3 linked regions of the Oryctolagus cuniculus genome follow. The main gene of each other region encodes a partner of the protein of the gene in region 2 in a complex. Links are inferred from orthologs where the notes say so. Each region holds a gene or a part of one and is shown on either strand. Other genes may lie near its edges.

What was found.
Region 1: the proteins of guanine nucleotide-binding protein G(q) subunit alpha (region 2) and CCKBR are in contact, whole or in part, in a cryo-EM structure (PDB 7F8W), measured with the Homo sapiens proteins. The link is inferred for Oryctolagus cuniculus from reciprocal best matches to the Homo sapiens genes GNAQ and CCKBR. Residues at the interface, in NP_002063.2 of Homo sapiens: Arg30, Arg34, Asp35, Arg37, Arg38, Leu40, Ser198, Val199, Phe341, Lys345, Asp346, Ile348, Leu349, Gln350, Asn352, Leu353, Lys354, Glu355, Tyr356, Asn357, Leu358, Val359; in NP_795344.1 of Homo sapiens: Thr87, Val88, Thr89, Asn90, Glu151, Arg152, Ala155, Ile156, Pro159, Leu160, Ala162, Arg163, Val164, Trp165, Gln166, Thr167, Ile241, Leu245, Gly248, Leu249, Val331, Leu335, His394, Arg396, Phe397.
Region 3: the proteins of guanine nucleotide-binding protein G(q) subunit alpha (region 2) and CASR are in contact, whole or in part, in a cryo-EM structure (PDB 8SZG), measured with the Homo sapiens proteins. The link is inferred for Oryctolagus cuniculus from reciprocal best matches to the Homo sapiens genes GNAQ and CASR. Residues at the interface, in NP_002063.2 of Homo sapiens: His63, Leu196, Gln197, Ser198, Ile323, Tyr325, Ile337, Arg338, Phe339, Phe341, Ala342, Lys345, Asp346, Ile348, Leu349, Gln350, Leu351, Asn352, Leu353, Glu355, Tyr356, Leu358, Val359; in NP_000379.3 of Homo sapiens: Lys644, Ala645, Asn647, Arg701, Val702, Leu704, Val705, Phe706, Ala708, Lys709, Ile710, Pro711, Thr712, Phe714, Phe801, Arg873, Thr876, Ala877, His879, Ala880, Phe881, Val883, Ala884, Arg886, Ala887, Thr888, Leu889.

Annotation. Positions count from the first base shown.
Region 1 is NC_091432.1:60,621,890-60,631,892, forward strand, and holds the start of CCKBR (gastrin/cholecystokinin type B receptor), read right to left. Parts: upstream 5,890-10,003; 5' UTR 5,493-5,889; coding exon 5,342-5,492; intron 5,324-5,341; exon of another isoform or gene 1-5,323. UniProt on the Homo sapiens protein: Receptor for gastrin and cholecystokinin. The CCK-B receptors occur throughout the central nervous system where they modulate anxiety, analgesia, arousal, and neuroleptic activity.
Region 2 is NC_091432.1:152,213,054-152,223,056, forward strand, and holds the start of guanine nucleotide-binding protein G(q) subunit alpha, read left to right. Parts: upstream 1-5,184; 5' UTR 5,185-5,375; coding exon 5,376-5,511; intron 5,512-10,003. Other genes in the region: uncharacterized protein, read right to left, coding at 3,671-3,776, 4,042-4,262.
Region 3 is NC_091435.1:78,388,526-78,398,528, forward strand, and holds the start of CASR (extracellular calcium-sensing receptor), read left to right. Parts: upstream 1-5,466; 5' UTR 5,467-5,662; intron 5,663-10,003. UniProt on the Homo sapiens protein: G-protein-coupled receptor that senses changes in the extracellular concentration of calcium ions and plays a key role in maintaining calcium homeostasis.

The sequences.
Region 1 (10,003 bases), about 92 Mb from region 2:
GAGCACAGAATTTAGTTAATAATGTAGTTAATAAATCAGTTAACAATGTATCAATGTTGGCTCATCAACTGTAATTATGGTAAACTCTGTGTGTGCAGTCGTGACAGTATTTTCAGGTGTGAGAGTATATGGGAACTTTGAACTCTGTACTTTCTGGTCAATTTTTCTATAAACATCAAACTACTCTAAAAATAATCTATTGTGGGGTTTAGTAGGTTAAACCTCCACCTGCAGCACTAGCATCCCACGTGTTTACTGGTTTGAGTGCTGGATGCTCCATTTCTGATTCATCTCCCTGCTAGTGTGCCTAGGAAAGCAGCAGAAGACAGATCAAGCACTTGGGCCCCTGTACCTATGTTTGAGACCTGGAAGAAACTCCTGGCTCCTGGCTTTATCCTGGCCCAGCCCCCGGCCATTGCATCCATTTGGGGAGTGAACCAATGGATGAAAGATCTCTCTCTCTCTCTCTCTCTCTCTCTCTGCCTTTGTCTCTCTGTAACTCTACCTTTCAAATAAAAAATATTTAAAAAAATTTTTTATTGTTTTACAATGTCCAACATACAAAATTAATATACAAAATACATGAGAACTGACTGTGTATATGTGTGCACATCCATGTGTGTTTGTGTGGTGGAAAATGAGTGATCACATTGGCTTTAGGGACAAGGAATTTCAGGCAAAGGTGGGAATATGGGAGATGTCACCTCTATGGGTTCAGACAGGATTGCCTTGATAGTCTATCCATAGGTACTACCTTCCGGGGGATGACAGGAGAGCAGAAGTCAGACCAGGGATTCAGAAGATGGGCAATTCAGTTCTCGCAGGGTTTAGAGGATCTGCATGGCTCTGTCCATATGATGGCTGCTAAGTATGGCACAAAAAAAACAAACAATGTGACACAATACAAGAACCAGCCTTTTCTTTAAAGGGGCTCTACAGAACATGAAAGCTGCTGATGACTTAAATTCGCTTTCCAGTGGGATGTTGGTTCTGCATATATGCAAAGTCATACCGCATCTCTGTTGTGAGCACAGACAGCATACAACTGACTGATAGTAGCTGTTTGTATAAGGGACATTCACGTACCAGTGGGTATTAACTGAGGAATAGGTAATATGCAAGGATGTGTAGGTAATAGGTATTATTAGGGTGAGCTTTGGCTAATGTTTTAGTCTTTATGATAATATCTGGATAGGTGAAGGTGAAAGTCACCCTTATTTCTGTGAGTAATATCTAGAGGAGGATAACATCTATATGTTTCTAAGTCCCACCTGATCCAATGTGGGTTGCATTTAAGCTTAGGTCATATCTAAGGAAGTGTTGTAAGGTTTGAATGAGCAGATCTTTGAATATAATTTATGTATCCTGAAGTTGTTACCTATGAAATGATATGTCATCTAGGGAGACTTGGAGAAACCCAAGTACATATGTTACATATGTTAATGGGGGTCAGTCCAAGTGATGATCACAATAGATGAATGAGCAAATAATATCCAAGTATGTGTGGGCAGTTTTTAAGAGGTATGGATGTGAACTGTTAACACTTTAGATTATTCTAAGTTAAAATGTTAATCTGATTGAGTGAAATAGCTGAGTATCTGAAGTAATATTTGAGTCTTTGCAGGTAATATCTAAATATGGAAGAATAATAGCTGTGAGTTTAAGGGCAGCATCTAGAGAAGGGCTAGTTAAACATGAGAATGTGTGATTTTGTGTAGCTAATGATAAAATGAAAGTGTTTGATTGGTGGGTAACATCTAAATGATTGGGTGACATTTAAGTAAATGTGAATAACCTCTATTTCTGTGGGTAGCATCTAAGTGAAAATGGGTTATACTCAAGTCTGCATAGATTATGTAAGAATAAAGTGGGCAAAATTTACATTTCTGTTGGTAATGTTGTAGTAAGTGTGGGCAGCATGTGCACCTGTGGGATAATAGCTGAGTGAATGTGACTAACAGGCACTCCATATGACACCTGACTGCCCGGGTAACGTCAGAATGTATGTGAGCAATAATATCCAGATAAGTGAAGACTATTTTTGCACCTGCACTCTGAATCATGTCACATCTTGCTTTCTCAAGGATCCTTGCTCTATTAACTATTCCTTTCTCACCTCTTTCTCACCTACACCTTCAATCTTCCATTCTCTTTGCACATTTCCTACCAATTAAAAATTTTTTTTCTATCTACCACATATACAAACACCCAAAAGACAAAACTACACACACACACACACACACACACACACACCATACACCTTCCTCAACCCCATGCTAATTTTGGCATAATCCTATTTCTCTTTTTATCTCTATCTCTTATACCAAACTTCTTGAAAGTCTGTTTACACACCCTGCTTTACTTCTCATATTCTCTCTCAACCACCAGCCCAATTGCCACCCTACTCTAGTCAGATCTTAAAAATTTCTCCTAAGGAATTTCTTGTTGTTGAAATATGCTATTCTGGGCCAGCGCCGTGACTCACTTGGTTAATTCTCTGCCTGCAGCACCGGCATCCCACGTGGGCGCCGGGTTCTAGTCCCGGTTGCTCCTCTTCCAGTCCAGCTCTCTGCTGTGGCCTAGGAAGGCAGTGGAGGATGGCCCAAGTGTTTGGGCCCAAGCACCCGCATGGGAGACCAGCAAGAAGCACCTGGCTCCTGACTTTGGATCAGCACAGCGCCAGCCGTGGCGGCCATTTAGGGGGTGAACCAACGGAAGGAAGACCTTTCTCTCTGTCTCTCTCTCACTATCTAACTCTATCTGTCAAATAAATTTTTAAAAAAAGTTAAAAAAAAGAAATATCCTGTTCTGTCATTTGAATTACATTTGCAACATTCAACATTGCTTCACCTACTATGCTTATCACTCTTTTTCCTTGCCTTCTGGAAGGACACAACTCTTGTCTCTCTGATGGCTTTTTTCTGGATATCTTTCACGGAATCTTCTTCCTGTGCCTGGTTTTTAAATACTGGTCTTCCACAGGGTCCTCTTTCAGGGCCTCTTTTCTTCTCATTCTACACAATCTTTGTATGACTTCATCTATTGCTCTGACTTCCATTACCTCCTGTAAGCAATGACCTTTTGAATCTATATTTCCAGCTCAGACCCTTCCAGTAAGTTCCAGGCCTCCAAATTCAACAGCTGAATGGGTAACCCCACTGGAAAGTCTCCCCAGTATTTAAATTCAGTGGGTTCCAAACAGCTAATAATCCCTTCTTCCAAATCTATTTCTAGCTGTCTGTTGCCTTCATTACATAGCACCAACATTCATTCAATTGTCCAAGCCAGAAACCTAGTTGTCATCCCTTGACCTCTTCAATCCTCTCCACTTATAATCAATTCCAAATTCTGTTGATTCCATTTCCAGAAGTGGCTCTCAAATCCATTCACTTCTCTGTACTCTACTGCAAGTATCTTAGTGTAAGCTAGCATCATATTTCTCCCAGAACAGTGTAATACAATAGCCTCTGAAGTATTCCTCTGCATTCCGTTTTATGTTCTTCAATCCGTCCTCTACACTACAGAGTGAATCCTGGCAGTACTACTCAATCTTTCAGTAGATCCATTTGCTCTTGGGATAAACTCTATGCTCTGTAGCCAGGTCTTTAAGGTGCTCCATAAACACACTGACTGGTCTGCAGCCTGAGTGTTTATTTCTCTTTAATGGTACACAGCTGCTCAGAAATGATGTCACACTGAACAAAGGTGACACAGATTTAAACTTTAAGGTTTTATTTATTTATTTATTACATATCCTGTTCCTGTGCTAGGGATGCTTTCTGCTTCTTGTGTTCTTTCATGTGGCTGGCTGTCCCTCACCTTTTTGGTTTCAATGCATAACTTACCTGCTCAGAGGCTGACCTTAATTCCCAAGGCAAAGCTAGGCTGCAGGTGGTTCTCTTGTATTTCCATTGTGTTCCCCTGGCAAGACAATTTGTGCTGCCATTCCCTGCTTACTCTTTCTCCCCCACTAAACTTGGAGATCCATGAAGTAGGAATTGTGTCCATTTTGTTCAACTCACGTCCCCTCTGCCTGATACAATCTCTGTTTCAATAAATATTTGCTGAATGAGGGAATCTAAGTGACAGCATGTAACATTGGGCTGAGAAAGCATAGGTTATTGTATGGAGTAAATAGGCATTTGGATTACAGTTGATTTCCAACTTTCTCTTCTTGGGTTTAGAATGATTTTCTTCTCCTTAACATTGCTCTCTGTCCTATAGCCCCACTCCTTCCTTTTCTGCCTTCTAAACTCAAGACCTGCTGAACTTGAAGACCCAGCTCCCAACTTCCATCCTCTGAAGTTCTTGGACTTTCACCTCCTTAGGGTTCAGACCTTCTCATGAGAGTTCCATGCTGACTGTGCTTCTTTCCATTGGCTCATCTCCCCCTTCCACCTGACCATGGACTCATGAGAGTACAGAAGGGGTCTAGTTCACCTCTGTGTCTCCCAACACCTAGCCTAGGGACTACAATATCAAGCGTTCAGGAAACACTAAAGGAAAGGAAAGGTGCAGGAGAGGGAAAAACGTATTTTGAGATGGCTGCTGATGGGAACGGTGAAAGTCATTTGGAAAACCGAGTAACTGGCAGCAATCTGAAGGGGAGGTGAGGAGAGGAGATGGTGACACAAACAGATGGGGTGAAGGGGGAAACCAGGTTCTAGGAGGTGTGAGGAGAGGCTGGATAGGAAGCTTGAAAGGGATTTGGAGACATTACATGGAGATAGAAAAAGAGAGAGCACACACGGCCTTGAGAACTCCAGCTTGGGAGGACAAAGGTTTGAGGATGAGTGAATTGGAGACAAGAGCTGTAAGGACCATCACCCAGTGTCCATCCTAATTCAGACTTGAGGATATTAGTAGAGGCAGGACGAGGGGTGGGATGTGGGACACAGGAGATTACAACCCTAACTTCCCAGAGTGCTCCCTCCCTCAACCAGCACCTTCCCTTCCTAAAATTGCCTGCCTCTTTCTTCCCTTCCCAGTTGTGGCTCTGAAGAGGATGGAAAAGGCAGATATATACAGGTGTCAGCCAAAGGAGGAGGTCCTTGCCTCCCAATTGTCTATGTGATGGGGAGGGGGCTGCATGTTGGGGTGGTCAGGGGACCAGGATGTGAAGGGGTTCTAACTAGGGGACGGGAAGCTGTGATGGAGTTGTAGGAGCTGCGGGGGCAGCTCTGAATGTGTGAGGGGGGTGTTCGGGGGCTGGGAGAATAGTACTAGGAGGGGATCCCGTGGCGTTTGGATATGCAATGTTAAGATCATCGTGGGGGTCTCTATGAGTGTTATGGGGTGCAGTGAGAAGGAGCTTGTGGCGCGGGCGTAGGGAGGCACCCACCTCGTGTCCCGGCTCCGCGGATGCGCGGGGGCTCGCAGCTGAGGTTGCCGGTACCGCTGTTGTTGAGGAGGGGGCCACCCGGGCGGCACAGGGAAGCCACCGGTCCGGATCCGGATCCCTGCACGCTCCGGTTCAGCTTTAGCAGCTCCATGGCCCCCGCCGAGCCCGCCACCTCGCTCAGCTCAGCCAGGGGGGCTCCCGCCGCGGCTCCACCTGCTCGCGCTGCGACGCGGCTCCCGCCGCGATCCGGCTCCCGCCTACTCCACCCCCGCCCTGCCCGGTCGCAGCCTCCGGCCCTGGCCCCCGCCCTCCACTCGCACTCGGCTCGCCCCGCCTAAGCCTGTCCCTCCCCGGCTCTGAGCTGCTTGTCCCGCCAGGTGACTCTCCGCCCCCCAGCCCGGTTCGGGAGTTACGCGCCCACTACGTGACTGTCAGCCTCGCCTCCTTGCAAGCCTCCCCCGTCTTCCTTGGAGATGGTTTTTCTGCCCAACCTTCTTCACCACCGCCCCCGACTCTGGGGAAGAAGTCTCTCTCTCTCTCTCTCTCTCTCTCTCTCTCTCTCTCTCTCTCTCTCTGTGTGTGTGTGTGTGTGTGTGTGGTGGGGAAAGGCGGGTAGGAGGGCTAGGGCATGGCGCCCTGCCGCGGATCCAACACCTTTACCCCGGGAATTCAGGGGATGTGGAGGTGGCGTTGGAAACAGGGTCTATGCACCTGGGGTCACCCGCTGCGGCACCGGTGCCCTCGCCTTTCCGTACTGTGCCGCAGTGGCTGCTAAGATCGCTACCCAATCGCTACAGTCGTTTCTTGCAGCTCCTCGCTTCGGGCTGGGCAGCCCCTGCATCTGTCCCCCCACACTTCACCTCCTATCTAAGGCTCAATACCCAGGCTTCCAAGCGACCCTTAGTAATGGGACAGGAGTGAGGGGGCAGCATTTGCCTCCAGGGGAGCTTTGGCAGGGGAAGGGCTGCCCAGGGCAAGAGTCTGCCTCGGGGGTGAGGGAGACTGGAGGTGCGCCGAGAAATGTGCAAGATAAACCCCGAATCGGGTGAGGATGGAATATGGGTCCAACTCTGGCCGGCCGGGGGCCCAGGGAAAAGAGGGGAGGAGGCGGCTGGCTGTCTGCGGTCTCCAGGCAGCGCCCACCTTCTCCTGACACGCTAGGCTTCCTGTTTGCTCTCAGCGCAGGTGGAGCCGCCTGTGTAGGGTGTCAAGTTCCCACGAGAGGGGGTTGGAAGGGAGCTGGGTCATTGGGGTGCAGCGGGAACAAAGCTGAAGGTACGCGTGCAGGATGCGAGCATGGTCAGCTTCTTGAGGCAGCATTGCCTCCTGTGCGTTCCAGTCCTGCCCGCTATCCTTCCGCCACTCCAAAGAAACTGCGATAAGACCAGAAATTTCATATTCTGACCCCAGCAGTAGCTGTTAAGAGGTTGGGGCAAAAGTGGAAGAACAGATTAGAGAGAGAGAATAGGGTCTGGATTTATGCGGAATTTGGAGAGCCCTTGTTCAATAAGTCTCTTGGAGAGAGGACATGCTCCAACTAGAGTTGAGTTTATAGGGGCTGAAACCTTGCAGAAGGGTTGAAGCTGGGATGGATGAGGATGTCCTCACCTGCTCCACCTTCCCTTCCACCTGGCACTGCCTGCCTTACCCATCAGAGAGCCCTGGACCAGAAGAGCTTGGTTTGCTGTTTATTCGGCTGGAGCACAGGTGGAGCTTTAGATAACCTGCTGAACCTTTCCCACATCGGATGGTTGTAAGGCCGAGGGAACAAAGAAAAGGTGGGGGAGCAGGAGTGGAAGTAGAACTAGATGAACATTCACTTGTTCAGCAAACCATTTTATAAGTAAGGGCTGTGCACTAGCTGTCCTATACAGTGTCCCTGAGTAGCACCAACTGTAATGAAAATTTTCCCAACTATGCCAGTGATTGCAATGTATGACCATAAGTGCATCCACCAAGATGCACAAATAAGAAATGTAGGAGTCATCTTTATTGCCTTACTCCCCTGTATCCCTCATTCCTGTAATGGAGGCTGTGACGCAAGCCCAGACTCATAGTCAAAAATGAAGGATTTATTCTTCAGTTGCTGAGAGTTCTGCTGGAATAGAGCCCTCAGCTGTCAGTCCCTTTCAGGAGTTGCCTGAGCAGAAGCAAGCCAGCTTACCCAAAGTCATGTTTCCTTTCTGGAGCACAGATCAGCTCAGAGGTATAAAGGTTAAGTGCCCTCATTCCCCTGGAGGACACCTCTGAAAGATGTTCATAAACCCAGTTGGGACAAAATGACTGCAGCGTCCCACTTTGTCCAACCTTATTTTCATCCTCTCTCTTTCACAGGTGTTGACTCCAAGAGCATTCATTAGTAAACATCCTTCACAGTAATCTCTGTTTTAGAGTCTGCTTCCTGGGAAATATGACTACATCATTCCCATATTCAATCATTCATGAAATCCTGTTGATTTTAGCTACCGAGTTCTCCTTGCTTTGGTCGGCTTGTGCAGCTACTGATACTGGCCTAAAATCTCCTGCATTAGTTTTAGCCTCTTAAGGAATCACATTTAAATGATGGCTCCTTACATACATCCTGCACCTTATAGCCAGAGTAATATGTGCAGAATACAAATCTGATTATGTTGTTCTTATGACTTCCACTTTGGGATGGAGAAAACCTTTTTTTTTTATTTTTGACAGGCAGAGTGGACAGTGAGAGAGAGAGAGACAGAGAGAAGGATCTTCCTTTGCTGTTGGTTCACCCTCCAATGGCCGGCGCGGCCGGCGCACTGCAGCCGGTGCACCGCGCTGATCCAAAGGCAGGAGCCAGGTGCTTCTCCTGGTCTCCTATGGGGTGCAGGGCCCAAGCACTTGGGCCATCCTCCACTGTACTCCCAGGCCACAGCAGAGAGCTGGCCTGGAAGAGGGGCAAGTGGGACAGAATTCGGCGCCCCGACCGGGAATAGAACCCGGTGTGCCGGCGCCGCAAGGTGGAGGATTAGCCTAGTGAGCTGCGGCACTGGCCAGAGAAAACCTTTTAACAGGATCTACAAAACCCCCATGATCTGGCTCCTGCTGACCTCTCTAGCCAGTTTATTTCAAGTCATTATGAATCTCGTTCTTTCTATTGTAGACATGATGGTCTTCCCCTACTTCCCACCCCATACCTTTTTTGTTGTTTGCAATATGTCCTCCAGTTACATGGCTTTTGCCATACTCTCTGGAAGCATCTCCTTTCCATTATTATCTAATTAATTTATTTATCTGATCTTAGCCCAAAAGCAATTTCTCAGAGATGATTCTCCTGGCTTCTTCTGGGATAGTTGGAATTATAAAATGACCCCAGTGACTTTACCCTTGTATAATCTCCATGAGTATCTATCTATGATGAGGTATTATGCCCATATGTATTTTGTTATAAGACAAAGATATATTTCAGGTAGAATTAATGTTACTAATCAAGTGACCTCAAGCTAGTGATATCATTTAACTAGTCTTAAACAAATTACAAGAGTAAAAGCTAATAGTTTTCAGCTGGGCACCAGCAGAAGCAATCTGAGAGATTTGAGGAGTTGGTGGGATTCAACACACTTTTGATGGCTCAAAGATGGAGGGGACCATGTGGCGAGGAGTTGGGTAGCTGCTACTGGCTTGAGGATGGAGGAAGGCACAGGGAAAGCACATGAAAGAGGCCTTTAGCTCTCAGCAGTCCTCAGGCAACAGCCAGCAAAAGAACAAGGCTGTCAGTCATTCCCCACTCCTCTAGAACATGATTCAGTCTGGCTGACATGTTGTGGTACCCTGGGCACAAAACCCAGCCACACCATGTAGATTTCTAACCAACGGATCTGTGAGTTAACAAACAGGTGTTGTTTGAAGCCACTAAGTGGATGTTACAGAATTAGTAGAAGAATAATGCTCCTTCCAATCAGGAGGCAGCAAAGGCAGACCTTTGCAAACCAGGCTAGGAAGAAGTGGGAACACAGGAAATCTGTTAAGATTTAGAAAGATTTGGCAAGATTGCAGTGGCAGCTGTGTGGAAAGCAACTCAAGGGGCAACACTAATGGGACTGCATAAGAGTCATTCAGGTGAGAGGTGACAGTGGCTTGAACTAAAGTTATGAAAGTGGTAGAAAGGATGGATTCAGGATCTCTCTCTCTCTCTCTCTCTCTAAAGATCTATTTACTTATTTGAAAGCCAGAGTGACCGAGATCAATTATCTGCTGGTTTACTCCCCAGTTGGTTGCAATAGTAGAGAAATGGATCAGGCCAAAGCCAGGAACCAGGAACTCCATATGGGTCTCCCACATGCGTGACAGGGCCCAAGAACTTGCCATCAGCTTCTTTCTCAGACATGTTAGCAAGGAGCTGGATTGAAAGCAGAAGAGCTGGGACTCAAATTGGTACTCTGATATGGGATGTAAGCTTGTAAACAGCAGCTTAACCTGCTGCACCACAACTCTGGCCTCTCAGATCTCTTTAGGAGGGTAAAAGCCAAATTTAAATGGTTTGCATGAAGAGGGTAATGGGGAAGGAGGAAATAAAAATTAGTAAGATTTCTGGTAACTGGGTAGCAACTGTATGATGATCACCTACTGTGTTCCAGGCACGTTACCCTTAATTGCATTTATTCCTCATAGGGAACTATAAATACAGGCCCAATGTCACTAACC
Region 2 (10,003 bases):
CTAAAGCCCACCTGTTTACACTGTTGGTCTTAGTCTGGAGTTTAGTCAAGTCAGAGAGTCTTGGGGGAAAAGTGATCCCTACTAGTAGTAAGATCCAGGACTGGATGTAATTTTTTAAAAAAATTTTGTTTATTTATTTGAGAGGTGGAGTTACAGACAGAGAGAGGGAGAGACAGAGAGAAGGTCTTTCATCTGGTGGTTCACTCCCCAAGTGGCCCCAATGGCTAGAGATGGGCCGATCTGAAGCCAGGAGCCAGAAGCCTCCTCTGGGTCTCCCATGCAGGTGTGGGGGCCCAAATTCTTGGTCTTTCTTCCACTACTTTCCTAGGTGCAGGGGCCCAACTTTCCCAGGCCATAGGAGAGATCTGGATTGGAAGAGGAGCAGCTGGAACATGAACCTGCGCCTATATGGAATCCGGCGCCACAGGCGGAGGCTTAGCCTGCTATGGCTCAGCGCTGGTCCCTGGATGTAAACTCTTGTACTAGCTAAGTCATCCTTCATCCTTTACATTTCAAAGGGGTGAGGATCACTTCTGGTGAACTGCCTGCTGACGTTTTACTATTTTATTTTAGTACAGATTTCATTCATTTGCTCATTAATTATAACTCCCATTAGACCAGCCTTTTAGGGACTTACGATCTAGTGGGGTCTTAATGGTCTTCCATCTGTGAAGTACAATACAACCCATAATAAAGTTGATCTTGCATAAGCATGAAATAGTTACTTGACAAGAGCCAGAGAAATCACCTGTATGTATTTCATGCACAAGGTAGGAGAAAGATGTCAGTGAAGTTCTCTACTTCACCAAGTATATCCGTTAGGTGGATTTGGAGGGTGTTTTCTCTTTCAGAAGAACACATTGTGGTTCTAGTTCTTTATTTTCAACATGTTGGCCCTGAAACCCTTTCATCTGGGCAGCTCTGCTTAAAGAATCATCTTTTAGCTCTTTCGAACATTTTCCCCTAGGTGGCGCCATTTGAAGCTCTCTGAGCCTCTCTGGGCCTACATCTCCACCAAGCCCCTTGTATACCTTGGACAGGCAGCTGTGCCTGCAAGGCCTGCACAGAGCTGCTAGTTCCCAGCTCTTGTAGGACCTGCGGTGCTTCAGGTTGATTTCCAGCTGGTCTTTCTAAAAATTTCTCATTGTATTTGAAAGGCAGGCACATGAGAGAGAGAGAGAATCTTCCATGGTTCACCCTCCAAAAGCCCACCAGGCTGAATCCAGGAGCCCAGAACTCCATCTGTGTCTGCCACATGGGTGGGCGATGACCAAGCCCTTGAGCCACCACCTACTGCCTCTCAAAGTAAGCACTAAGAGGAAGCTGGGTAGGGAGGTCAAAGAGCTGGAATTCCAACCACACACTCCAATACAGGATACGGGCATCCCAAGTGTCTACTCATGTGCTGTACCAAACGCCTGCCCCCTAATTTGTCTCTCAGGGGACCATCATGTGCCTTCCCACCCTCCTTTGAATGGTGGCTTATGTAACTGGTCCTCCTCCTGAACTCTGCAGTCTGTGGAGTATTCCTTTATGCATGAGGACTGTCTGCCCAAATAGATTATAGAGTCTTTAACGACTTTGTATGCCTCGGGCATCTGGCATAAGACACTGCCTGCACTGGCAGTCTGCGAGCGTGTTTGTGGATGATGTAGGTGAGTGGCATTCTTTTGTTTATCCATCACTTACTGAGGATCTGTTCTCGGCTAGGCACGCTCTTGGGTGTCAGGAAAGCTGAAGTCCAGGCTTTCAAGCGGCTCCTGATCCTGGAGGGAAGGGGAGGGAGGGAGGAGGTGAGGGGGGCTGAGAGATAAGGATGAAGCATCCCCACAGGCGTGTCTGGATTACCCCTACAGGTTTTCTTCCCCAGGAGATGCCTTTAGAAGAGCAAAACCACTGTGTGAGACTGAACTATGCCTTTTTTGTTTTCTTTTCCAGTCCCCTAGGGACACAGTGATGTGCTTGTGGGGGTGGGTGTCCTTCTCAGGGCACCATAGACGTGAAGGTTTTACCATTTTTCCCCCTAAAGTTCAATGCTCTTACTGTTTTGTTCTTTGCTTTTGAGGTCTCTGGTAACTGCCCTGAATTTTCAAAATGGTCTATTGTCTATTGCTAATTTGCTTTTATGTGATATGTATTTCTGGAAAATCTACTTGTTCTTTAAAGTACAAACGTCCCCTTTCCTGGGAGGACAGAAGGAATTATTCCTTCCTTTTTCTTTCTTTACATTGTGACTTCTATCACAACTTTAATACAACCTGACTTCACTTTGTGTTTCATTTTGGCTGTTCAGAGGCTCATTATTCCTTTAGACTATTAAGCCTACTGAGGGTAAAGACCATATCTTATCTTAGTAGGCGTGTCTTCTTGGACCTTCACCACTAGTTACTGATACAGGGTAGGTAATGAGTAAATGCTTGTTGATTAAAAACCTGGAATTTTGTAATAGGATCCATGTTTAGTTCCCTAACGCTTCTAGGACAGAGTCAACATCAGTAATTTCTGCATGGATTGTTTGATTTTGGTTGTAGGAATATTTGCTAGGCACATGCTTTCCAGATAATATCAAAGAATTTTTGGATTCATCTGCATTCAGATTAGGACTTTCTTTTCCTGCTTCCTTCTTGACACCTAGACATTGTTTTATCACTAGAGTTTTGGTTTTCCTCACTTCTTGATTTGTTCCTAATACTTGTCATGACAATTCATATATCTAGTAACAGCCAGCCAGGGTATGTCTCTGATGCTGAGAATAGGGGATGACAAAAGTTTATATCTGAGATCTGTTGAAGCAGTTTAATTTCTTTCATCAAGCAATAGGTCAAATGTACTGATAGTCTTCTGATAGTTTTCTGGCACACTTTGAAAGACATTTTCAAGTCTCAGAGGACACTAGGCTAGGAAACCCAATTTGAAGCTCAAGAGAGCTATTTGGTTTCCAGTGTTTTGTATTTCTCCTACTCACATATATCCATGTATTACAGGATACAACCATATCAGGTTTTCCCGTGAAGCCATTTTACATCACTGCATATTGAATGCCATTCTTTTCATTTCTTTTGTCACTGATATTTAAATTTTCATTCCATAGCAAGTGTAGTGGTTCTTTGTAGTCATTCGTATAAATTTGCTCATTCTACTCTCCTGGCCAAGGTGAAACTCAATCATTTTCCTTGGCCAAAAATCCTTTTAAAAAATATAGATTTTATGTTTTGATGGCTTGCTTAATCTAAGTGCTGGCTTGGAGTGTGTGTGAAGGGCTGGAGGAAATGATAAATGAAGGAAGGAAGTCGCACACCTGGTGTCCATGAACCCAGGGTGCATTCCTGGCCTGCAGCAGTAGCACAGCCGTGGCACCAGGAGCATCTCCCAGCAAACGTGGAACAGCGATTCTCTTCAGAAAACACCATTTACCCTGAAGACCTCGGTTTCCATCAAGGCTGGAGGCGGAAGAGCTTGGCTTTTTGCAGCTTTCAGGCCAAATCAAGCCTGAAGGAGCAAACTTCTTGTTGTTACTTATCGGGAAGATCACCACGAAACACATACGCAACACTTTTACATAAACTTAACCGGAAGTGGAAAAGGAAAAATAAGAAAAAAAAAAACCTAGAAACAAATCTTGATTTTCCCATTTAAAATTTTTTATTCTTTTCTTTCATCCCGCACGGATTTACATGCTCCCAGAAGCCACCCATAAGTTCCATCTCGGTGGAGCAGGGTACATTCGGTGACTTGGCTGTGAAAACATCGCGTGCCTTTTCAAAAACGAGGAGCATCTGTAAAACGGAAACAAGAACAACAGAAAACCAAAACCAAAATCACCTCAACAGCATGAAAAGTTGGAGCCTGCCAGGAAGCTCCCGGCAACTTGGGCAGCTTCATTTTTCTGCTCAGATTTCTATCTCAAGTGAATTGCAGGGTCCTCGCCCCCTACCCCTCGGGGAGGCAGTGACCACTCCTCTCCGGCCACAGCCCACCCGGAGAGAATCGTATTTTCTAAGATTCAACTGGGGTCAGTAGTGACGAGAGGCAGCTTCTAACCGAATGGCGTTTGAGGAATAACCTCGGGAAAAGACAGAGGCCACCGCACAGCGGCCTCGCGGAGCCGGGCAGGGGGTCTCCGGCGCTGCCAGCGGGGAGCCGGGCAGGGGGTCTCCGGCGCCAGCCGGTGCATGGGCTCGGGGCCGACTCCCGCGGCTTCCAGGCGGGGCCGAGGCGGCGCTCCGGGGCTGGTGGGCTGAGAGGCAGGCGGAGGCCGCCATATTCCCGCTCCACCACGCCCGGGCGGCCGCAGGTTGCCGGGGTTCCGGCCCGCGGTCGCAGCCGCCCGCTCAACCCGAGCGGCTGTCAGCGGGCCCTGCCCCTAGCCGAGGGCGGCTGCGTCCGCCGGAGCCCGCCGGCCTCCACGGAGGGCGCGGGAGAGGGCGGCGCCCGCGGAGCCTGAGGGGGCCGGCCCAGTCAGGGAGCTGCGCGAGCGAGGCGAGAGCCGCACTGGGCGGCGCGGCGCGCGGCTGCGAGCCCAGGGAGAGCCTTCCAAGAGGGGCCGGGCGGCTCCGCCTCCCGCGCCCGTCCCTCCGCCTCCGCCTCCTGCCCCTCCTCCTCCTCCGCCTCCTCCCGCCGCCGCCGCTGCCGCCGCCGCCGCCGCCTCCCTCCCGGATCTGTGCTCCAGTTCAGAGAAAGAAGAAAATGTGTGTGTGTGGCGAGGGGGAGGGCGATCACTGAGCAGCCGCTCCGCGCCTGGCAATCGGGGCCGGGGGTGGGCGTTTGGCGGAGGCGGAGGCGGAGGCGGAGGCGGAGGAGCGCGCGGCGGGCCGGGCCGGCGAGCGGGGTTTGCGCGCTTAGCCGGGCGGTGGGCGCGGGCAGGGCCGCGGGCGCCCGGGAGCCGTGTCAGGCGGCGGCGAGGAGCGGGCGCGCCGGGTGCGGGGAGCGGTCGGCGGCCGCTCGCTAGGGGGGCGCCCCGGTGGATGTGCTCTCGCCGCCGGGCGCAAACCGTAGGGGAGCCTCGGCGGCGGCGCGGGGGGCGAGGCGGGCTGCCCGTTCCCGGGGAAGGAGGCGCGGGCGTCTGAGCGAGGCCGGGCGCGGCGGCCTTCCCTTGCGCGCCCCCCGAGCCAGCGCCCGCGGCCGCCTCCCGCGCCCGCCTCGCTCCGCCGGGCGGCGAAGGCCTCCTGCGCCCGCCTAGACCCCGGCCCACCTGGTGGCCCCGGCCCTGGCCGTCGCCCCCGCGGCGGTTCCGCGATCTCATCCCGGACGCGCGCCCAGGCGGCGGGGGCTCAGCGGCCACCGCTGCCTCGGGGGAGCGAGGGCGGGAGGGTGTGTGTGTGCGCGCGTGTGAGCAGGGGGTGCCGGCGGGGCTGCAGCGGAGGCACTTTGGAAGAATGACTCTGGAGTCCATCATGGCGTGCTGCCTGAGCGAGGAGGCCAAGGAAGCCCGGCGGATCAACGACGAGATCGAGCGGCAGCTCCGCAGGGACAAGCGGGACGCCCGCCGGGAGCTCAAACTGCTGCTACTGGGTGAGTACGGCCCGGGCCGGCCGTGCGGGCCCTCCCCCGGGCCTCTGCGCGCCCCCAGCCCCCGCCTCCGGCCCCTCCGGGCAGCCGCCCCCAGCCCCCGGGCTCGCCCCTACCCTCCCCGGGCGCGCCCCCGGCCTCCACCCGCACCCGCGCGGGTACGCGCGCGCGCGCACACACACGCCCGTGCGCGCGGAGGGTTCGGGGCTGCCTTGTTGGGTGCCTCGGCGCGTGCTGTCTTGTGTGTCCCTTGTTGTGGGGGGGGCTTGCGTTCTCTGCGGTGTCTCTGCTCAATGGCAGATCAGATCTGGCTAGGGGCGCGGGGCTGGGAAGGTGGGCTGAGGGCTTGAACTTGCAGCGCCGGGGCCGCCGCGCCCCCAGGGGTGGTGGAGCTGTGTGTGTGTGTGTGTGTGTGTGTGTGTATGTCGCCCGGAGGGTGGCGAGCCGAGCCGGGGCACAGGGCGCGGGCGGGCGGGGGGGAGATGGCGCGCCGTGAGGTGGCCGTTGTGCATCCATTATCGGTGCGTTCTGGGGTCCAGGAGAAGTGGGGGAGCCACCGGTGGGCAGACTGGCGAGTGGGATCCCCAGGGGTGAAAACTAGAAGCCCAGCAGGGGTCGACCCTCCCCAGCCAGGGGTTCGTGGGGTGGGGGCGGGGAGGGCGGGCAAGCCCCCGTGTGTCACCCGAGTGTTCTTCTGCAGCCACCAGGCCACCCACAGGAGGGGCCCAGCAGAGTTTCTTGGCCAGTGGATGGTGGCAGGCGTGCTTCTCGGCTGCACCATTCCTTCCGGATTAGGACCGGGGCGAGGGGAGCGTGGCTGGCGTGGTTGTTGACAGCGACGGGTATCTTTTGTCTAATGAGGCATCCCAGATCTAGGCCTGAATTCACAACAGTACCGCAGCCTTTCCGTCCCTCTCCGGGGGAAAGAGAGAAACCTTTTGTTTGAAACGGACAGCATTGTAGTGTCTTGGGCATCAGGGCTGCAAAGGAAAATTTCCCTCTGGTCTCTGAATCAACAGCCCCGCGTTCTGCTTTCACGCGAAGTTAGCAAGAGAATGCCGTCTCTCGAATAGGCGTCTATGGATGATTACCTCCGAGAGAATGCTCGGAATCAGGCCACCAGGGTTCACAGACAAGCCAGCGTGAGGGCACCCGGAGCTATTGTGGTCGGCAGAGGCCTGGAGGACGTCTGCACTTGTGTTCTGCGTGTTTGTGTGTGCATAATAAATGCGCGTCTCCGACAGGAGAGAGTGTGGTCTGGGCAGTTCGGGTGGCAGAAGCCTGTATTCCCTCTCTTATCTTGAGCATTCCATCTGCTGGAGAACCAACTGTCTTTGGGGACTCAACTGCTCGTGCACTGGATCCTTTGCAAACAGGAACAAAATAACAGGGCCACCCGTACTTACGAATGGCTACTCTGCTCGCCGGGCTGTGTGTCTTCCTTCTGAAGCCCTGTTAGACAAATGTACACAGGTTCATAAAGGAACAGAAGGCAGCGGGCTGGGGGGAAGAGGTGGGCTTGAGGCCGTGAAGCCGGGGGAGGGAAACACTGCGCTTGGAAAGTGAGGTTCTTTAAAAAAATATATTTTTTTTAAATTTTATTCTCATTTTGGAGGTTGAACATTTTCTGAATTCTCGGGATTGAGAAGAAAGTGGAGAGAACAAGGGAAGGTGTTTAAATACAGAATTCAGGGGAGAAAACATGTGGTGAAGAGAGACTTGTTTGAAGAGCTGGGTTTTCTTTTCCTTTTGCCCTGTTTACTGCCTTTATTTGTTTCTGTTTAGCTGTGAACAGGGCGTCTAAGGTCTCTGCAGTCAGCTCTGTTGGCCTGAACTATGACAGCTCTGGGTTTCCCAGCAGCTGTGCCTTAGCACAGGGGCTTTGTCAGAGGGCCTGGGTTTGAATGCCCAAGAGGGAAGAACACTTCCATAGAGGCTTAATTACATGCCCTGTGCTGTGCTTTTATGGAATGAACCGGGAGATCATTTTCTGAGGAAAGAAAAATGTAAGGTACAGTTTCACAGCTTACGTGGTGGTGGTGTGGAGACTTCGCTCTTATTAGACATTTCAGTAGGGTTTCATATGGCCCACCTCATCCCCATACTATGGCCCATTAGAAGTGGTAGAAAAATAGGATATTAATTGAGCATCTACATTCATGAGTGCCATTTGAAAATGCATCTCTCTGACAGAAGCTTGATCCTCACACATCGTTAGGAATTCCTACTTCATGTTCTAGGCGTGTGGCTTTTGTGACTTAACCAGTGCAGTGCCCACACTACTCACGTGGTAAAGATAGGTGCTGAATGTAGATGTGTGCCTGTGTGTGAATGGTGGGTGAGTCCAGGAGGGAGCCGAGGGCTGAGCTGAGCAGGGAAGGGTAACGGGGCGGCTTCCGGCAGAGGGATTTCTGCTGTGCTGCTCTGATGAGTACCCTGAATTTTCCCGATCCTTCCTTCATTTACACAGAGCCTACCCCGAGGGAGGGGGTTACAGAATGTGTTCTCTCAGAGTGTCTAAAGATCTGGTATTTTAAACTACCTACTTAAATGGAGGAATCAACCTTATAGTAAATGAAATGCAAGATAAAATTATTTTCAAAGTAAATTTTAATTTAAGACATGGCAGCATTTAAAGGAATTGTGTGGTAGGGATAAATGTGTGTACCCTTGCATTTGTTCACACAACTATTTAATATATATTAATAATATGGAGGAATTAGAGAAGGAAAGTAGTGTTTGGCTGACGACACAGAAGTGTGGCAGTAGAATTTGTGCTGTTTTGATTCATATCCAGCCATTATGGTAATGTCTTCCAAATTTATTCTGCAGTACTTGCATATTTTAATTTTTAATCTTTTTAAAAATGAACCCTGAAATCTACCACCTTAAGAATATCTTCTTAATTTCTGAGTTCATATTTTCTTAAAATTATTCTCTTAATTTATTTACTTTAGTGATTGTTTTCTTTGACACCTAAGGAAACTTTGTATTCTACATAGACATACAAAAGCATGCTCTGTTTTAACTTTACTGCTGTTTTTATGTATTTTCTAGGTGAAAAGTACATTATATTTGCTTTGATTAATATTCATGAATTCACTAAATATTTCTTTCAGTAGTACATGGGCCACACCATTTAATATTAATTTGTCTTCAGGTCTGTAAAACAAGTTGTCCCAAATGCTTGCCTTGGGTTATAGATGTTCATTGTGAAATTGTTTTCAATTCCTAGAAGATACACTTTTTCCCCTCTTAACCTGCTCTTATTTTATGCATGTTTGACATCTTTTCTGTTTAGATCATAATCATCAAATAGGAAGATTTTGCGAATTTGGGAGGGAGAGGGAGGGAGAGGTAGAGAAGAGAGAGCAGGAAGGGGAGGCAGAGAAGGAAGTGAGAGAAGGAAGGCAAAGTTTAGGTCAATGTTAAATGAATGCGGTCTTGGTTTTCTGAACTGAATTACATGCATGGCTGTAGATTTTATTCCTATTCTGCACTGCAAGATTGTAGGCATGGAGATTGTGTCTATTTGGTTCACTATTAAATCTCAGCTTGTTGTACATGTTCTAACTCATAGAATGCCCTCAGAAAGTATTTGCTGAATGAAAGATTTTATTTGTGACCCTCCTGCTAGAAGTTGGGATCTGATAATAATGAATAAATTATAAGAGCCAGAGGGATAGGTAATGTTTTTATCTACAGCACATAAAATCATGATCTTTTGAAAATTGTATGTGGCTGTTGGAGCCAGTTGGTTACAAATGCATCACATAGTTGATCCTGTATATTACAGTTCTGTGCTGGGTACACTGCGAATGGAACAGTCTTGCCCAAAGTGAAAATTTAAAGGAAAAAAACCTGTTGTCATCTTGATTACCTTTTTATCATGTAGTGGGTGGTTTAACCCTGTTGTCTTTTTGCCAGACATTTTTCTCTATGATGCACTTAGCAGAGTGAATTTTTAATATTCTGTTGAGAACAGATGATGACCAAACAGATTTTTGTGATTTACTTAACAATGTTACATGAGGAAAACCACAATGGGTAAATACAGAATTCTAGGGATTGCAGATGGAACATTTTTTGATACAAGGGGCATACATCTTGTACTGAACGCTGAACAGTTGGAGAGCAAGAAGAGACTCGGAAGCCTGGGAATGTTCTGGCCAATTTAGACTATATGGAGGGTTCATTCATGCACACCTTTGGATCAAAGCACCCTTCCCTCTGTCCTTAGTAGACTGGGGATGGGGGAGGGCTGGGCAGGTTGATGGCTGCAGTTAACCTAGAGGCTGCTGGCTGTCTAGAGGTGCTCCTTAGAACTCTAGAATGAAAGCATTTCTCCACCAACCCTAATAATATCATCTCCCTGGAAAGACCAGAATATGGTGTTGATGAAGCTGCTTTAAGGATCAGCCAGTTTTATTTTTTGCTACTGTTAGCTTCTGAGTGTTGAGTATGTTTCTAAATGTCAGGATTTATTTGGATGCAT
Region 3 (10,003 bases), on a different chromosome or scaffold from region 2:
ATCTTGAGTTCATTAGAGTAACTTGAAAGGAGTTGTGATTATAGGGGAGAGTGAGGAAACCCTATAGGAACAATATAGAAAATTGGGAACCCAGGATGAAAGATAGACAATGAGAACTTCAAGTAGCTGGATTCCCTACGTGGTTTTAAATGGAAAGTATTTAATACTGGTTTTTTAGTTGTTTGTGTGTGTGTGTGTGTGTGTGTGTTACAATTTTCTCTAACCTTTCTGTGACCCCATCCCCACCCCAACACAACTTCATTACTCTCAAACCACTTGTGTTAGAGATTATTTTCTGTTGCTGAAACAGAACACCTGACACTGACTAAGTTAAAAACAAAAGAAATGTATTTAGCTCACAGTTCTGGTGGCTGGAAGTCCAAGATCTCATTTCTGGATCTGCTGGGCTTCTGGTGAGGTCCTCACGCTGCCCCACACATGGCAGGAAAGCAAAAAGTCAAGCAGGTGCATGCAGAGACAAGCATGTGTGATGAGAGGGAGGAGAGGTGCCAGGCTCACTTTGTAAAACTCACTCTGAGTAGCCAATCCAGTCCCAAGGCACCAAGAACTCCATGGAGACTGCATTAATTTATTCATGAGGGCAGAGCCTCCATGACTCACTCACTTCTCAAAGGCCCCACCTCCCAAAACAACTATGCTGGGAATAAAATTTTAGTAAGGGTTTTGGTAGGGACAACCACACCCAAATCATAGACCCATCAGTGAAGTTTACAACACCCTAAAACAATAGCAAAGGAGGTAAGGAAATAGGAGTGGAGTCGGGGAAGGAGGAGCTGTGTCATTCAAGGACAGGCATCCCAGATGAGCCCCTCTCTGAAGAGGTAGCACTTGAATAGAGAGCAAAGGAAGAGAGGGAGAAAAGCACTCCAGGCAGAGAAGGAAATGCAGATTTCAAGGCAGGATGAACCGGGTGCATTCAAAGACTAGCAGGAAGCCAGTATGTGGAGTCAGGCAAGAATACAGAAAATTTATTTTATTTTATTTTATTTTATTTTATTTTATTTTTAAATATGGAACGCTTCATGAATTTGCGGGTCATCCTTGCGCAGGGACCATGCTAAACTTCTCTGTATTGTTCCAATTTTTTAGTATGTGTGCTGCCGAAGCAAGCACAAGAATACAGGATATTTAAAAAACAAACTAGAAAACCAGGCATGGGCTATGCAGACTTTAATGGGCCATGGATATTACTCTAAGTGAGAAAGGAAGTACTTTCTAGTCCAAGAGCTGCCAGTTGGACAAGCTTCCCCTTGATGCAATTATTCCAGTGAAATCAATCTATCCTTCTATGAGACTGTCTCAATATTCTTCTCCCTCTAACTTAGCTATCAAATAAGCTCCTTGGGGTATTCTGTTCTTAGCAATTAAGGGCTCCGATAATCTCTCAGATACTTCATGCAATTAGACCATGATTCTGTGTATAATGGATATTTAAGATTCTACAATTCCAAAGTAAATTTCCACACCAAAAGTATTTTTAAAAAGTCATTATTTTAAATTTTTATGAAAGGCAGAGAGACAGTGAGAGAAAGAAAGACAAAGACCTCTGTCTGCTGGGTCACTGCCCAAATGCCTGCAACAACCGGGAACTCAACCCAAGTCTTGCACCTGGGTGGGGGTGGCAGGGATCCAAGCGCTTGAGTCAGCTTCTGCTGCCTCCCAAGGTGCTCATTGGCAGGGAACTGGAATTGGGAACAGAGCCAGGATTCGAACTCAGATCTCTGATGTGGGCATCCCAAGTGGCATCTTAACCATGAAACCAAATGCCAGCCTCCCCAGAGGTAGTTTTAACTGCTGGAGACATGGTGTACCTCTTTTTTTTTTGACAGGCAGAGTGGACAGTGAGAGAGAGAGACAGAGAGAAAGGTCTTCCTTTGCCGTTGGTTCACCCTCCAATGGCCGCTGCGGCCAGCGCGCTGCGGCCCGCGCACCACAATGATCCGAAGGCAGGAGCCAGGTACTTATCCTGGTCTCCCATGGGGTGCAGGGCCCAGGCACTTGGGCCATCCTCCACTGCACTCCCTGGCCATAGCAGAGAGCTGGCCTGGAAGAGGGGCAACCGGGACAGAATCCGGTGCCCCGACCGGGACTAGAACCCGGTGTGCCGGCGCCGCAAGGCGGAGGATTAGCGCCAGCCTTGGTGTACCTCTTTAACCATATGTGTTTTTACACTGGTCCAAATGGGTTTAAGTGAACAGTAGGGGCAGCTGCCTTGGGGAAGTCAGCTTGGAGATGGGAAGTGCGGGCCTGGAAAGAGGGGGGAGCCCCATGCTCTTGCCCTTGGGGATTGATGCAGACCAAGTCTATACCAGAAGAATGTGTGGTTAGGGAGCAAAGACTGAATTGTGAATAAATGCCCCAGCACCGTTAAATCTCCCAGAACGTTGTCTCTCTTAGACCAGTTACCTGAGGGAGAATCTGCTAGCGCCCTGTTCCCTGGTACAAGTGTCACAGTGGTGCTCCTGGTGCTCAAGGCTTGCTTGGGGCTCTCCCCTGGGATTTACCCTGAAAGGGAGTTGATGCAACTTACATCAAAATCTGTCTTTGCGGAAGTCAGGTCTCTGGGAAGGCATGCCACCAAGTCTCAGATTCCCTGGCTGGTAGGACGTCACAAGTTGTAGTGCATGCAGCGTCTGAGCTCCTGCGGCTTCATTTCTGACAAGCAGGCAGCTGCCACTGCTTCTTGCCCTGGAGTGAAGGGAAGGTGGCGGTCGTCCCCGCCCCTCCCGGCTCCTCCCAGGCAGCCCTTCAGCAGCCTCTAGACCGCACTGGTGGTTGGAAAGTTCTCATTCATTTTGGACAGAAATCTGCACCACCATATCATCCATGCTCTGATCATAATAGAGCATGGGGCAGGAAGAACTTTCTAACCCAAAGAGCTGCCCATTGAACAAGCGTCCCCTTGATGCAATGATTCCAGTGGAAGCACCTTGTCCTTCTGTGGGGCTTTCGGAATATTCGTCTCCCTCTGGCATAGCTATCAAATAAGCTCCTAGGGGAATTCTGTTGTTAGCAGTTAGGGGCTCAGATGATCTCTCAGGTCTATCATGCAATTAGATCATGGTTCTGTATGTCATGAATGTTTGGATTCTACAATCCCAAAGTAAATTTCCTACACCAAAAGTATTGGTGCTCTTGGTTCCTTTCAAATTGCCTATGTTTCTTGTTTAAGTACATTCGTCTTCAATGCAAACTACACCACCTTGTAAGCGGAAAACCTATTATCACTTAGATATTAACTGCATAAAGGATAATAGCAGATGGAAGAGAAAGTGATGATATTAAATTCTACTTAGCAGCTGTTGCCTAGCAAAGGTTCGGGGGTGGGGAGCAAGCTTTCTTTTAAAACAGATTAGCCGGTGTTAGAGAGATGTGAAGACAAATATCACAAAAATGACATTTCTTCCTTGACATAATCCATAGGAATAAGAGAATTAAAAAAAAAGTAAGATTTTCCACCTTATGATACACTGTTATTTACTGTTCTTGTCTGTTTACCACAGCAAACCATGTGTAGGGGGAAGATATACACTCTGGGAAACACTGGCAAAGCCATCAGGCACCTGCTGGAGATGATCAAGTTCAGGTCTGGGTGCTATTGCCTCCTGGCTGCCCAGTCCTAGCTACTGTAGCACTGTAAGCGGCAGTCTCTTCAGCTTTGAAATGGCGGCAGTACTACTAGTTCAGAGTGACAATTTCTTGAAGTCAGTACCCAGATGTGAGCACCACGCCCAGGTGTGAGCTGACCATCAAGGAGCAAGACAGCCATGTCATTCAGCTTTTGGGTTGAATGAATTCCCATTTTGGCCACAGACAAGGAGATTCTGGGAGCCAACTAAAATCTCTAAGATATTTTGCTGTGTACCCCCATCACAAACTTGTATGGCGGGTGTTTGGGCGTGAGGCAGACCCTTGGCACTTGTTCTTGGTAACCAGATTCCCGCCTTGACTGCACGCAGGTGTTGAACAGGTGCTGAGCTCCTACTCCCTCCCCCACCCTTCATCTGAGGGAAGAGAAGCCCATGGGCAGACGTGGACCCCAGGATTTGGCACCCCGGCTGCCGGGCTGTGTTCCTGTAAAGACACAACATGAAAACATTTTGCTCAACTATTTATCAGACCCTTTTCTTGAATCACCCATTTAAAAGGTAGGGTTACAGAGAAGAAATCTGCATTTGCATTTAATTAATTATATCTATTAACATTAATTTATTAACTAATTTATTAATTATTATAAATTAATTATTAAGCATGGTATCTATGCAATTTTAAAATTTTTCACTTAGCATTATTTGTAAATATTATTTGTAAATACTGTGTTAGTTCACATTGCCCTTTTGAAATCTGTAAATAAATGCTCTCTCCTTATTCTAAAAAGAACTTAAGGCACTTCCGTCTTGGTGTTTATCATTTTGATGGCTGTATAATATCTCATTAGGTCACCCTACCACAATTTATTTAACCAGTTTCCTATTGGCCTTACTTGCATTTTGTGTTTTTTACAGTTGTTATCTTCTGCCACAAATATCTTGTTAGGAACATCTGTACTTGCGTCTGATTTTGTTCTGGAAATTTCTCCAAGTGTGGAATTACTACATTAAAGGGAGTATTTTTGTGGGGAGGACCGGCGCATTGTTACAGAGACTAGAAAACTGCCCACCAAAAGGGTTGGCTTCATTTGAGGGCGAAAAGCAAAAACCGGTCCTCTACAAAACAAATTAACTTCCCACTTATTCAGAAAATACTGGAGCACGGTGATGGGTGCTAGGCGCCGTGCCAGAGACAGGACAGGGAGAGGGCGGGTGCCGGCCCTACGAGAGCCACAGTGGTGTCCGCTGGAGGAGCCGCGGCGCAGCGGGAGAAGCGAGCACCAAGCGCGCTTTGGCACCCGAGCGTCCGCGAGGAGCTGTTTGCAGCACAGACAGGGTCGCGGCGTGGGCGCTCACTTGACCTGAGCCCTGCAGAAGGAGTAAGAGTTCTGGCACGAGATTCATATTTCTTTCGTTGTGACTCGATGGACCTTTCTTAAAAACAAGTCCGATCCTTGGCGCAGAGAAGTCATCGTCGTAAGCCCTCAAGAAACTAAGCCGCTTTCCATCTCCAAGGAAGCAGGGGAAGGGGGACCTTCCCGACGGCAGCAGCAGGACCCGAGGCTGGGGCCGGTGACGGTAGAGGACCTGAGCGTCCCCCGGGCGCCAGACGCGACGCGCAGACCTGGAGAGAGGGAACGCGCGCCCTCGGCGTCCAGCTTCGGGGAGTCCGCTCCTTTCAGTTTGGGCTGGAGAGACGGTAGGGGAGCCGGGATAGAGAGCAGAGGGAGCCCGCAGGTGGGCTCGGAGCGGAGCTGGACTCTTTTGGGACCCCGAGGGGGCAGGCGGGCGGGGAACTGGAGAGGGGCGGAGCTCCCAGGTCGCGGCCGCCGCAGCCGCCCAGAGGGTCTGCGGGGGCTGCTGAGGCCGGACCCGAGGGCTGGCCCTGGGAGCACCAGGGAGCGGCGCGCCCCTGCCAGATCGTGACCTTGCCATTGCGAGCGGGGCCCGCGCGTGCCGTCCTGAGCTTAACCCCAAGCCCATCCTCGTGGAGACGCACAGCCGCTGGGCTGCAGCTGCCCCGTGCGAGGGAACCCAGGCCGGGGCGCCAGGTAAGACCAGGGGACGCTCGGAGAGCAGGTGAACGGGGGTCTGGGAGCCACTGGCATCGCGGCCGAACGAGGGGCTCAAGCCTGGGGAGCTTGGACCTTTACGCCTTGGTCGCGGAGCGTGGAAGAATCAGGACCCAGGCTGGGGACCCTACTGCTGAGTGACAGCCCAGAGGGGCTGCGGGTCGCTGTCGGGGATGGACGGAGGGCGCACTAAGACGCAGGCTGGGGGGTGCTGCCTTGTGCCTCTGCCTGTGAGGCGGTCAGAAAATTGAACTTTCCTTGTGTTGAGACGGGGACAGGTGGCGTTCTAGCGTATACTTGTGTCGTGGGGAGGGCCACAGCGTCAGCACCCGTCCTGCTGGGCCCCGTGCCCTCCCTCAGCATTCCTGGTCCAGGCCACCAGCTGCCTTGCCTCGGGGGGCACCACACGAAGGTGTTAGTTCCCACTTGCCTGATCAGACTGATGGTTAATCTTTCATTAGTTTAAGATTCTAGTTTTCAACAGATAAGACACGCACGTGATTTAAAAAAAAACAAACAATAATACAAATGTTTGCCTGGACTAGCACCGTTCCTACTGCCCACCTTGTTGACCTGCATCCTGCCTGCTCTGCTTGTCCTGTGGCCTCCTCTTGGCACTTTATTCCGCTCCTGCATTTTGAATATACCAGCAGGAAATGACGTCACCACCACTGCCGGCAGCCTTCAAGTCCAGCGCTCTCCCTTGGAGCAGCTCAGCTTTCCTCTCAAGGGGGTCTTCAGGGTAGGGGGCCCACTGAGGAGAAGACAGCTCGTTTGCTTAACTCTGCCAGCCCTGTGAAGAAAGGCCATTGGGGAAGAGCCCAGGAGTCTGTACTGACCTCTTCTCTTCAGGACATGGGGCCTTGCAAGTGCGCCCGCTCGGTGGCGTCTGGTACTGAGGGGAGCGAATGAAGGGTGTTTCCTGCCTTGCACTAGATTTCCAGGATGGAAGGCGCCACTAGCGGCTGGCTCTTCCTTAAAGTAGAACTTGGCCAGTTCCACCTGGCTCTGTCTCTCCTGCCTCCAGCCCACGTCTCCCAGGGTGAAGTGCCCCTGTAGGTACTTTAGAAGGAGGGTGCCTTGGGCCTGCCTCTGTGAAGGGGTTCCAGGGCCAAAAGCTCTGTGGAGTTGGGGAGATGTAAAAGAGGGAGTTGGAGGAGAACAGGGTAGCAGGAAGGGAGGTGCAGTCCGAGACCCTTAGGTGCAGAAGAATCCTAGCACGCAGGGCCCTGCCTCTCCCAGAGGCCCCCGGATCATTTTGTTGAGAGATCACACAGGTGGCTTCCTTCGTGTTAACAACAGGCACACTCAGTTTTTTTCCAAGACTTTTTCTAGGCTAGGCCAAAGTGTATTGAGAAATAAAAAAAATTCAGCAAATCACCCCCATTTTTGTTTATATGATAGAATGGAGTAGTTGAAATTGTTTCTACTGAATTAACAGGTACTTAAGGAGCTAGGTGAATTGTTTAAAACACCTAATGGCTCCTCCAGCCACCACATTTTCTTTTATTTTCTCCCTTTCTCGGTGTTGTGTGACCTTGAGCTGAACCCACGTCTGTCAGAAAGTTTGAGTTGGTTAGATGCTACCACTTCTCAGGTTCATTGACTGTGAGGTGGGGGTGGGGGAGGAAGGAGAGGATTAGGACTGATCCTTGGGGGTGGGGGCAGGCAGTGACCAAGAAGGATAGGGTGAGTGCGAGTACAGATTGGCAAGGAGCTGCTTGTCATCTTTAAGGGAGCAGGGCAGTGAGTGGGTAGGAAGTGAAAGAAATCATTCATTCATTAAAAATGCTTGTAGAGACCCTATCAATGCACTGCCCACTGGGAATAAAACTAGGCAAGGTCATTGCTTTGCGGGCAGCTGCTAGTAAAATAGCTGAGTGTTGACTATGTGATTGCAAACGAAGATAAGCTCCCTAAAGGAAAGAGGCAAAGTTCCTTGAAGCTGTATACAGACTTTCTCCAGGAGCTCTCCAAGGAGCTGAGACTCAAGGGCGGATGGGAAGGTTGGCGATCTCCTTGGTTTTGAGGTAGGACTGGAGTGCATCAGTTAGGAACTACACTTGGCTGCTGGTTCATCAGGGAGACTGGCTGTCCCGTCGCTTCCGCCACACCACCTGTGCACAGGTGCAGTGGTGAGCTTTCTGGCAGAGCATCAATGCGCTGTCTTGAGTTGGTCATGATTTTCCATGACTGTGGTCTTGCTTTTAAATTAAATGCTTAGATTAACTTTAGTCTTATCAGTTTTATTTTATTGCGTACATATTGCAGTTCAAATGTGAATCAGCCATACTCTGATAAGAAAAAAATGTATATAAGCCTAATATCAAATTTGGCTTTTACAATGACAGTTCACTGTTATCACTGAATAGCTTCCCAGGTGGCAGGTGGACATAATATCATCGCTGGACCTGTAACCACTGCTCTAATTGGGAGGGTGTCGAGTTTTAGTTATCCTCAAGCTGCATATACCTTCACAAAGCTTCATATGCAGTTCTTTAGCAAAGAAGAAATACAGTATACCAATATTATTGATGTTGTAAGCAAAAGTAATATAAATCACACAATATAGTGCATGGGGTATTCCAACCAAGCAACGTGTTTCATATTCCAAAAAACATCTTCATTCATCCAGTACATTCGCAGTAAATTTCTGTGGGCTCACCACTGTGCTAGATCAGTAAGTCACAGCCGCAGCCTTTCAGGAATTCACAGCCGTGTCAGAGGGAGGTCCGACTCATCCATGTAAAGGGAGTCCGTACTGTGCTCGCTGTAGTGGAAGCATAATCAAGAACAGCGATGAGCAAGGTGGGGAGCCCTCAATTCCAAGGGGAAGAGGGGTCAGGATGTTTCCTGGAGCAGAAAACACTTGGATTGAGTCTTGGAAGATGAGATATTCCACCAAATAAACCAAGGGGGGAAGGCATCCTGGGAGAGAGATTCATGCAAAAGCAAACAACCAACCACCATCACAACAACAGAAAACAGAGGCACAAAGCAGTATGTCAAGGTGTAGGACTTGCAGGTGCTTCAATGGCCTGAAGCCCAAGACACAGAGAGAGCTCACTGAGCCATGAGGCTGGAGAGACGGGCAGGCTAGCAAGGTGGCTGACGGATGACCCCACAGGCCCAAGAGTGAGCCAGGGTTCTGCCATTTGCTAGCTGTAGGACCTCCGTCGAGTATCTGAGCCCTGGAAATTAATGGTGACAAAGGTCGTACTCCCTCATGGGATTGCTGTGAAGATTGAAATAAGATAGGCAGTACCTGGCACAGATCAAGTGCCCAGTAATTGTTGGCTCTTACTGTTGTTGTTTCTCTGAGGGCAAAGGAGGATGTGAGAGGATTCTACCTGGGAGGGCGTCTTAGAGAGATTTTGGTTCAGCGCCCAGTCATCCTGACCGCATGTGGATGCGAGGTTTGAAGGGAGCAGAGTGACCACTTAGAGATGTTGCGACTCTTCACATATGGTGAAGTGCCCGGACCGTAGTGGTTACAGCAGTGGCCATGGAGAAAGAGAGCTAAATGCTTGAGCTATCCCCCAGGGAGACTCCACCACAGAACTCAGTCATCGGATGTGCTGTGCGGAGAGAGAAGGTGGAGACGCCATATCTGAGACTCAGGTCTGCGGTCCTTTGGCTCTGTGTGACCCACGTGTTCTTGGGGTAAATCAGAGGGAACTGGGTCTCACACAGGGCTGGAGATTAGGAACCTGGGAGGGGCTTATGTGCAGAAGACTCCATGATTGGTACCAAAAATGTTGACTGTCCAATTCAGAGGACTCCTGGATGACTTCTGGGTTGTAACACAAAGCAGAATCAGGACGGTCTAGGGTGATCCTGGACAGATATAATCCTGTCTCTTCCTGTGTCTCCCTTGTGGGAGGCTTAGTTCAGGGCAAATGAACTTTAGACTTCAGCCGTTTGTCATCGCTGCGGAGGGCACATAAAACCTTCCCTCCTGCCTGCTGGTTTGGATAGCCTCTGATCTGACAGCAGCCTGATTGATTTTTTTTTTTTTTTTTTTGCTTCTGCTTTTCTCAAGTGTCCTCCCACAATCCAGCAAGCACTGATTGAGGTGCCCACACAAAGTGATTAAAGTCGGTGAGTGTGAGGGGGCTTGGGTGGTGACTGACTTGTGTGATAGCATTTGTTGAACAGTACCCAGGAGTGATGTGTCTGTTTCTACCCACAGTGGATGCAAGGAAGTGTTCATTAAGTGTGTACTGTCAGCTTCAGTTGCTTGAACAGCTGTATTATTACTTGAAGCCACAGCAATGAGCAGACAGCATAATTAAGCAGCGCCAAGTGAGTGAGGTGGCC